2 linked regions of the Arabidopsis thaliana genome follow. The protein of the gene in region 1 interacts with the protein of each later gene in a pairwise test. Each region holds a gene or a part of one and is shown in the gene's direction. Other genes may lie near its edges.

Evidence for each region.
Region 2: the proteins of U1-70K (region 1) and COS1 interact in binary tests that used the Arabidopsis thaliana proteins (3 or more experiments, as listed by UniProt).

The regions. Positions count from the first base shown.
Region 1 is NC_003074.8:18,825,622-18,831,498, reverse strand, and holds U1-70K (U1 small nuclear ribonucleoprotein-70K), read left to right. Parts: upstream 1-1,814; 5' UTR 1,815-2,006; coding exon 2,007-2,105; intron 2,106-2,410; coding exon 2,411-2,525; intron 2,526-2,595; coding exon 2,596-2,675; intron 2,676-2,765; coding exon 2,766-2,841; intron 2,842-2,928; coding exon 2,929-2,993; intron 2,994-3,087; coding exon 3,088-3,150; coding exon of another isoform or gene 3,151-3,267; exon of another isoform or gene 3,268-4,059; coding exon 4,060-4,141; intron 4,142-4,239; coding exon 4,240-4,453; intron 4,454-4,533; coding exon 4,534-5,023; 3' UTR 5,024-5,339; downstream 5,340-5,877. UniProt on the Arabidopsis thaliana protein: Mediates the splicing of pre-mRNA by binding to the loop I region of U1-snRNA.
Region 2 is NC_003071.7:18,222,392-18,226,734, forward strand, and holds COS1 (6,7-dimethyl-8-ribityllumazine synthase / DMRL synthase / lumazine synthase / riboflavin synthase), read left to right. Parts: upstream 1-1,821; 5' UTR 1,822-1,912; coding exon 1,913-2,063; intron 2,064-2,150; coding exon 2,151-2,266; intron 2,267-2,402; coding exon 2,403-2,498; intron 2,499-2,574; coding exon 2,575-2,670; intron 2,671-2,813; coding exon 2,814-2,892; intron 2,893-3,132; coding exon 3,133-3,179; intron 3,180-3,277; coding exon 3,278-3,337; intron 3,338-3,487; coding exon 3,488-3,526; 3' UTR 3,527-3,842; downstream 3,843-4,343. Other genes in the region: AT2G44040 (Dihydrodipicolinate reductase, bacterial/plant), read right to left, coding at 1-82, 175-276, 379-453, 549-682, 883-1,120, 1,282-1,495, 1,594-1,607. UniProt on the Arabidopsis thaliana protein: Catalyzes the formation of 6,7-dimethyl-8-ribityllumazine by condensation of 5-amino-6-(D-ribitylamino)uracil with 3,4-dihydroxy-2-butanone 4-phosphate. This is the penultimate step in the biosynthesis of riboflavin.

The DNA.
Region 1 (5,877 bases):
ACCTAAAAACATGAATGTTCCACAAACTCTACTAATGGCTAAACCATAACCAAACTCCCCCGTAACGGTAAAACTATTACCAAACTCTCTTACTAAGAACACAAAAACTCTGAAAATTTCTTAACTCAAGAATAATTCCAGTAACATAAAAAGAAAAAGAAAAACCAAAACCAATCCTACTAAAAACATAGAAAACCAACGACTTAAAGTTTTGGAAAAATAATACCCATGTGATTAAGAAACAATCACGTAACCTCCATCCCTTAACATGCCGACATCTTCGTCGTTTTCATTTCCACCGTCGGAGGCACCGTCTTCTCCTTCAGTGATCACCATCTTCATAATCTTTTCTTGATTACAAAATCTATAATGCGGAAGCTTTAATTATGATCCACAAAGATCGACTGCTCTGATACCATGTAGAATAAGGTATTGAACTGACTTGATTTTATTGATTCACAAACTATGGTATTTATATACAATGATCTCTATCAAGAGATAAACATAAATCCCTAAAATATAGGTTAGAAACTCTATCATCAAAGATATTGTACTAATCCTAATCGGATAACATATATCCCCAATAAGGCGCCTAAGTTCAGGTGCGACAAGGCTCCAACAATTTCTACTACGATGGCCAAACGCAGTTACCAAGGGGAGTCATCAGTCCCATTATATGAATACATAAATCTGAATGATAAAATTGCATACCTATGAATCTATGATAATTGGCAACGTCTTCTTCTTGTGGAACACGCAATGGTACCCTCCCCGAGTGTTAACACACATGCTACCTTCGCAACAATATTTGTGACGTCCATTATTGTTGAGTATTCTACACTCGTCCATATCTGTAGATGAAAAACCACATAATTATAATAAGCAAGCATTTTCCACAATACAAGAAAACAGAACGAGTCAGTTTCTCACTTTGCATCCACCTAAAAGATCTTATGGGTTACATTGTAACCACTGGAACATGCACAAACTGAATATCCAATCTCGTACTCATAATCCGTCAGGTTATATATGGCACTTGCAACGGTGATGTGAGCACCCGACAGATGAGAGATTCACAGTTTGAATTGACCATTGTAGGTGGACTATCGTACGTTTCATCGCATAAATCCATCGAGTATCACTAATTTTTGAGGAAGGGTATATGTCAAACTCGTCTGTTAAAATTGCCACTTTGCACCCTCGCCTATTGTTGTGTTTCTACTATCCCCTTGTATACTAAGAGACCAGTTACATGCCCGATCACATAAGGTTCTTTCTTTCTGCAGCATCTATAGCCATTGCAACCTTTTTTTATCCATTCTCGCTTCTGGTGCTGTAGTGCACAAATGGAGACGCAACCAACTATTCTTGGCTCATTTTTTCTCAAAAGGCTTTGATGTTGCAACCAACAACAATTACGCTGTTAGCGCACGAGACCAATGGTAAAAGGTGTGCCCGTCAAGTTCAATAGATCTCCAACCTCGGTTCCATCATACTTAACAAAATCATTGGATGGAGAGCCACATCCTATGGAAGTGAATCAGTGATGGTCATTTGGAAATGCTTAATTTTTCTTATTATGGTTACTTTAAAATATTTAAAAATTTAGAGCCTGTTATTGTAAAAATAAATAAAATTGGAATCTATTTTAATTATGTTTTTTGTTAATGGATTTTAGAAAAATATGGGAGCCAAAGATCAACGAATGCCTACAAAACCAATAATTTGACATGTTAACAAAAAATTGTAAAATCCAAAAAAAAAGGTAATTGAAGCTGATAACCCTCTTGTTCAGCGAGTGGGTTAAAGTGTGACCGAGATATACGAGCACGGCATCGTTTTACGTATCGTGATCTGTTGGATCTCAACTCGGTTTTCTTAATAATCAGAATCCGGTTAGAGATTGAATTTGGGTTTTGTTAGTTTTGCTTCTTCTCTCTGCAAAAATCCTCCATCCGCTTCCTCACGAAAAACCCTAGCACAGCTCCGAGATCCCTTTTGTCGCCATGGGAGACTCCGGCGATCCTTTCTTGCGTAATCCAAACGCCGCTGTTCAAGCTCGCGCTAAAGTTCAGAACAGAGCCAATGTTCTTCAGCTTAAGCTGGTTCGTCTCTTCTCTCTAAATTCGCTGAATTCGTGATTACTCTCTAGATTTTAGTTTCGTTGTCTATTAGGTTTCTAGCTAATGAATTGGAATACTCTTAAGTCGTTTGATACTTGCTTCGGTTCTATTTTCGATTGCGTTGTAACACTCATCAGCTAGTTCTAAATTGAATTGAGATTCCGATTTTAGGTCATATGATTTGATTATATTGGTCTTGATTCTTGAGCTTGTTTTATAGTTTTGAATCAGTTTGATTGATATCTTGTTGCTTTAAAGCTGATATAATGGATCTATCTGATATGCAGATGGGTCAGAGCCACCCTACTGGCTTAACAAACAATCTCTTGAAGCTTTTTGAGCCACGTCCGCCATTGGAGTACAAACCACCACCAGAGAAGAGAAAGTGCCCGCCTTATACAGGTATCAACTTGTATATCTGATTATGTTTTCTTTGCTTTGGATTTGATTTTGTCTTGTGTATTGAATATAGGTATGGCTCAGTTTGTAAGTAACTTTGCTGAGCCTGGGGATCCAGAATACGCTCCACCTAAGCCAGAAGTTGAATTACCTGTATGATGATGCACCTTTAACTCTTTCGATTATTGCCATATTTTAACCCTAAATCAGTGGCTTATAGCTTTGTTTTGTTTCATTGTCCAGTCGCAGAAAAGGGAAAGAATTCATAAATTGCGACTGGAGAAAGGTGTTGAAAAGGCTGCTGAGGACTTAAAGAAATGTAATCTACTATATGTTATTTGTGTTCCTTTTAATGCCCTCTTAGGTTTGAGAATTCTTAGTTAATTTGTTTTTTTTTTATATGCAGATGACCCCAATAATGATCCAAATGCTACTGGAGATCCATACAAGACATTGTTCGTTTCAAGACTTGTAAGCTGTGTTTCTTTTTTTCTTACTGTTGAATGACTTTTGTTAGACATCTGAGTTATGTTGTGCTTAACTTTGGTCTGTTCTTGTCTTGCAGAACTACGAATCCTCAGAGAGTAAGATTAAAAGGGAGTTTGAATCTTATGGACCAATTAAACGGGTAGGTTATTCTGAGCATTCCCTTGCTGGTTCGGTAAGAATTTGTGTAATGGCTTCCCTCTCTAGAGCTCTTTGCTCAATTTGTTTTATTTTATCTACAAAAGTCTTCCAAGGTTAGAATTTTTCAGTCCCTTATAAATTTGCATCTTTTCTGCTAGACCAAAAGGCCATTCTACATTTGCTTTGTTTTGCATGCCTTCTTTAGACTGTGTAAAGCCATCAAGTCTCTTAGACCTTTCTCAATAACTGAATATATAGATGCATAAGTGCTTCTCATATAATGACACAGCTCCTCTCTCCATGGTGTTTGTTTGAGATGTTTTCGGTAAATTTGGCCTGGTATTTTTATTTCCTTGTCCCTTCAGAGAGCAAATACTTTTACAATGATATATCATATAGTGGTTATAGGCACACGGTTTACCTAATCAATTAGTTGTTTTCTGAATCTATAATGAGCTCAACTCATCCTGCTGGTAAGCAACTTATAAAATATTATCTGCCCATATCCCAAAGCCATTCAAATGCTTTATTTTCAAGCAACCAAGGTTGGATTATCGAAAACCCTTCTCTCTTTTCCTATCTTAACATCTATATATATTCAGTATCTGGGACTTGGGCTACTATGAAGGTGATCTGGTTCACTTTTTAATACATTTTTAGTTATCTAAGTTTCTATACCCTGGTAAGGGGTGGTTTATTAGACTCTTCAAAAATGGTAATTTTGCTGCAATACATCCATTTTTCTGCCAATTCTTGATGTGGGTGGTGACATTCTCGGATTTGGACACAACATAAAGGTTGCCTGCCTTATAGAGCTGCATGTTTGTTTGATATGAAACACTTTTATCTTGAATCTGATTTTGTTCTCACAGATTTGATTTGTTAATTGTCTTCTTCTGAAACTTCTCAGGTTCATTTGGTGACTGATCAGCTGACCAATAAACCCAAAGGATATGCTTTCATTGAGTACATGCACACCCGTGACATGAAAGGTGCCCTCACATCTCTTTTCTTTCAACCCTCTTTTATCTCCCTGAGATGTTTGCTCTTTATACTGATGTTGCATTGTGTTTTGCTACTCTTCCTACAGCTGCATATAAGCAAGCTGATGGACAAAAGATTGACGGCAGAAGAGTTTTGGTTGATGTGGAGAGAGGTAGAACCGTCCCAAACTGGCGTCCACGCAGGCTTGGTGGTGGACTTGGGACCTCAAGAGTGGGTGGTGGTGAAGAAATTGTTGGGGAACAACAACCGCAAGGAAGAACCTCCCAGTCAGAGGAGCCATCGAGACCACGGGAAGAGCGGTAAAGATATTTTCATTCGTACCAAACTCTTTTGCCTTGTGACTAATATTGTGCTGATAATGTTGTTACCTTGTCTCCAGTGAGAAATCTCGGGAAAAGGGAAAAGAAAGGGAAAGGTCTCGTGAGCTGTCTCACGAACAACCTCGAGAGAGGTCTCGTGACAGACCGAGAGAGGATAAGCACCACAGAGACCGAGACCAAGGAGGCAGAGACAGGGATAGGGACAGCAGACGTGATCGTGACCGGACCCGTGACAGAGGAGACAGAGACCGCCGTGACCGTGACAGGGGACGGGATCGTACTTCAAGGGATCATGACCGAGACCGCAGTAGAAAGAAGGAGCGGGATTATGAAGGAGGTGAATATGAGCATGAGGGTGGTGGTCGGTCCCGTGAGAGAGATGCAGAGTACCGTGGCGAGCCAGAAGAAACTCGTGGCTACTATGAAGACGATCAAGGGGACACAGACCGGTACAGTCATCGCTACGATAAAATGGAGGAAGATGACTTCAGATATGAACGTGAGTACAAGCGGTCTAAGAGATCAGAATCGCGAGAGTATGTTCGTTGATGTTTCATTCGGCTGTTTAAAACTCTAAAAACTTAAGAATCCTTTTTGTTTATTCTAAATCAAAACTTGATGCAATTCTGTTTGTTACCTCTGAACTTGATTGCTATTTTTTCTCTTTTGAAGTTTGTCATATTATTAATCAAAATCAAACCAACTTTAAAGTTGTGATGTTTTATTGATTATTTCTTATGCAGTACTACTATACATGTGATGATTTATGTGCCTAGAAACGGTCAATTATTAAACTTATTGGTGAAAACATGATTGAAATGTTATTTTATTTAGCATATAATAGATTGATATGTTTAGAGAGAGGATATATTGATAGTCGTGAATTTTTGAGATAATTTGAGGAAAAAAAAGGCTCCATTGCCGGGAATCGAACCCGGGTCTCCTGGGTGAAAGCCAGATATCCTAACCGCTGGACGACAATGGAATTTGTTAATGGTTTTCATTATGACATTATTGTTGAATATTTTGGTTTCACATTTGCTAGAAAACATTACTAAAATCCAAGGTCAAACACTTCGTACGTTTGAGTATTTTATATACACATATCTGTATCTATTTTTAGAATTATTATTATATACAAATACAACACGACTCTTGTTACTTAGGTTGGGACACATGCTCAGGGGTCGTATTCGTGATGGAATTGTAAAATAGATTTGCAATTATTTCTAAATATAAAAAGCAAGCCATATGATTTCTTAGATCTTTACACTTTTGTTTGGTTAATGATCGTTCTGATTGACGTAGTTACTCAATGTTAGCGCTTTGAATGTTTCTCTTTTCTTTTGGGAGTGTCAATGCCATTTTCATACATCTAGAGACCGAATAATTTATGTATTAAC
Region 2 (4,343 bases), on another chromosome or scaffold:
GATGGAAAGCGTGACCAGAGATATGCTCCTCAGGTACACCCACCATCTCCACTTGCTGTTTTGGATCCCGAATCAATTGTATCTGCCACAAAAGTTGTATACACAGAAAATTCACATTCCGAGGATAAATTAAGTGATTGCCAAGATGTAAACAATAAAGGATGACCAATGCACCTGATCCATGTCGTAAGACACACCCAATTCCTGGAAGCAAGAAATAACAGCTTTTGCTGTTCCGGATGCATCCAATTTGCTAGCTTGATGAGACTCCATCACCTACATATAGATTGGCAGTTGATTAGATGTAGCAAGAAGTAATATAAAACTAACAGAGAAAGAAAAAAGAATTTGAATGTATAAAAGAAGTAAGAAAAGTACATCCAAGGAATAACCAGAAAAGGCTCCCGGAAACTGCTCAGCCATGATCTCCATGGCCGCAAGAAATGCTACAACCTATAGACCAACAAAGCACACAAATATGAGCAAAAATGATCTTAACTTACATGCATAAGTAATCATTTCTTCCAGAAACATTCAAGTACACATACCTGTTTACCCATCTGTGGAGAAATCACAGCATAAATCTTTGCTTCCTCAACAGTTTCATACAATTTGTTCCTATCTCCACCAGTTGTTCCCATGACGAAAGGAACACCTACTTTGCTATACAGCTCCGCATTATCTACATTTTGCGAGAATACCAAACTTGAAATCAACAAACAATAGACAAAAAAAACACTTCTAGCAGATGATTTTCACTTGCACAAATTCTAAACTAACTCAATCAAGGATCGTTCCGCCAACCAGAATTCAACCATAACTTCAACAAATCTAGAATACAATTGTCTTTTGATGGTAGAAATGAGAGATTCTGAAGTTTACCATTTACTGCAGAGGGAATTGTGTAGTCGACAACAATTAGCTCCGGGTGCTTCTCAAACACCGAAGAAAGAACCTTTTCTCTTTCAGTTGGACCGTGCACAGTAATCTCCTTTCCACAGACCTCAACTCTCTGACCATCCTCACCAGCAGATCCAAACGATATGGGAACAATATTTACTCCTGCAGAGTCTGCTGCTTTAATTACAGCTTTCCCCATTTTGCCACTACATCCATTCACCTGTAGAATAAGAGATAATGAATATAGCTAAATCCAACATAAAAATCCCCATTTCAAAAGGAACAAGCTTTGACATTTCTACATTTCAAACTTAAATGGTAATGCAAAGTCAAATCTCACAACTTTGAGTCTAAGAGAAATCATCAGATGATCAGGTTTACCATGATGGATATGCCATTTCCAGGCAAAACAGATTTCACGGCCTCCTCACCGGAATCCGCCATCGCCGTCATGGATAAAACCACCGGAAGACGACGTGTCCCAATGCCCATGAAACTAACACGGCCTTTACCGTATTTTCCTACAGTCTGATTCGTTCTAGAAGCAAATGCGATACGCGGGCGATGAAGAAACACACTGGACGACGCCATTAACCTGTGATCAAATCGTTTAAATTCAATAGAATCCTCTTAAAGAGTTTAAAGCTCATCTCCGTCAATCAAAACGTGAAATTCGTAGGTTTCGAAACGTACCCATTCGTAGCCATAAAGGAATTTACTCTCCAGGATACGGAAGTTTTGTTCTTTGTTACGACGGAGTCAAAAGTTTAAATCTTTCACTTTTGTCTGAAAATTTCCGGCCGGTGAGAGTGATTGGGGATGTAGGGTTTAGCTTATCCCTTTTCATCAAACCGGAAATCTCTAACCAAACTAATAGATTCAATGAAACCGTAATTTTAATGAAAATAATAAACCGGAAGCCTTGAACCGATTTGATAAGCTAATGGACCTCACAGTCTCACTCTTAACCTGAAGAACGAAGAACCGTCTCTAAAACTCCGACGAACGAAAAATGAAGTCATTAGCTTCGCCGCCGTGTCTCCGCCTGATACCGACGGCACACCGTCAGCTCAATTCGCGTCAATCTTCCTCCGCCTGTTATATACACGGTGGCTCTTCTGTGAACAAATCCAATAATCTCTCATTCTCCTCATCCACATCCGGTAAGCTTGCTTTCTCTCACTTCTCTTATAATAACTCAAATCGTTTTTTCGCAATTTCGTGATTGAGATGTTAACATTTGGTGTTAGGATTTGCGTCACCACTAGCTGTAGAGAAGGAATTACGCTCTTCATTCGTACAGACGGCTGCTGTTCGCCATGTTACGGGGTCTCTTATCAGAGGCGAAGGTCTTAGATTCGCCATCGTGAGTTCTCAGAATCGCTTTCTTACTTTGTGCGCTGCTTAGATTTAGTGACTTGGTTCTGATTTACAGTGAAATTTGAAAACTTTGAGCTCAATTGCAGTGTTGACTTGGTTCTGATTCATTTTTCTTTCTCAAGGTGGTAGCTCGTTTCAATGAGGTTGTGACTAAGTTGCTTTTGGAAGGAGCGATTGAGACTTTCAAGAAGTATTCAGTCAGAGAAGAAGACATTGAAGTAAAAGTCTTTTGCTTGTAGAACAGAATAAAAAGTTATGAGCTTTCACAAAGCTAATGACACTGTTTTTATTCAGGTTATTTGGGTTCCTGGCAGCTTTGAAATTGGTGTTGTTGCACAAAATCTTGGGAAATCGGGAAAATTTCATGCTGTTTTATGTATCGGCGCTGTGGTATGATTCTTGTTTTGAAAGAATCTCAGGCTATTCCATTTGTTTTTCTCCTCATATGGCTTCAGAAAGTAGTTGCTTTATGTTGATAACATATACTTAAAGAGTTGGATTTTGATATTACTGTTGTCCTTGTTGTGGTTTAGATAAGAGGAGATACCACACATTATGATGCTGTTGCCAACTCTGCTGCGTCTGGAGTACTTTCTGCTAGCATAAATTCAGGTTTACCTCGATACTTATTTGCTGGATATACATCTTTAGACATTTTTATTTGACATTGTTTTGGAAACACTGAAAGATTGATTTTGTATACTTCCGAACCTAAAAGAGCGGGTAGTTCATTTTTGCTTTTCTTTGGATTTTGGATGTTTAAATTCCCTCATCATGAATTACTTCTTCAAATTTTGTGTTTACGCACTATTGACTCTAGTAATTAAAGCTTATAAAAAATCCAATTTGCAGGCGTTCCATGCATATTTGGTGTACTGACTTGCGAGGACATGGATCAGGTTTAAGTTGTGTTATGCAAGAGTTGATGATATATAGCTTATTCATCATAATGGATGAACACTGAATTTGTTAATATTGTGGTTAACTGAAACTCTAGGCTCTGAATCGATCTGGTGGCAAAGCCGGCAATAAGGGAGCTGAAACTGCTTTGACGGCGGTAAGTATCATTATGATTCAATCCTTTATTGTTAGAATAAGATGTAGAAATTCCTGATCATTCCATTGAGCAACTGGTCATGTTATAACCATTCGGGTTCTTATGTCTTTTTGGTAAAGTCTTTGAATATTTCTTCCTCTTGTTTTTCAGCTCGAAATGGCGTCGTTGTTTGAGCACCACCTGAAATAGCTCGGCTCGTTCGATGGATGAACATGATCACGTATGAGAACCTCTTGATGTTGTCCCATTTGGTTACAATCCAGTCTCTGAAATTGTTTGTACCTCAAAGATTGTCAAAATGTTTTACCCTTGGTTACAAAATCATTTAAACGCTTTTGTAAGCTTCTGGCCTTGTTTTTTTTTTTTGAATCGTATGATAATAATAATTCCTCCGAATTTTGGGGGTCTTTCTGTACTAATCAAAAATGTGATCTTCTTTGTTGTAATATCTTGAAATTGAGGTGTCGAAATGGATGTCAATTTTAAAAGCCAATAAGGATCTTACACGACGAAAATTTTGTCGGCGAGCGAAGATTACGCGTCACATTGATAATAGTTAATATAAAGTTCAACGGATCAACCAATTCCACAATCTATAATCATTTTGTGACTCTTGGAGCACTCTCTTCTCTTTGTCTCTGTGACTCACATTCATCCAATCCAGGTAAAAATCAAATCCACTAAGTTTTATTTCTCTTCATTGTTGTTCTTGCGTTGATCCTTCATGATTTGATCGGAATACATGGAAAAAGGTGGTGTAATTAGATCGAGCTTTTTGTTTCTCCGATCTGTTTGACATTTAGGTTGATCTAGTGCTATCATGTGTAGATCGAACATTCGGATCTGTATTTCCCACGAATCCTCTTGATTCACGTGATATGATCATTGTCTCTTAGTACAGAGATGCATTGTATGTTCTTTGGTTTGGGATATTCCACTAGGATCCTAGTTGATGATATCTAATGTGATGCGAGTTCTCTATGGTCTTTGGTGAGAAACTTTGTTT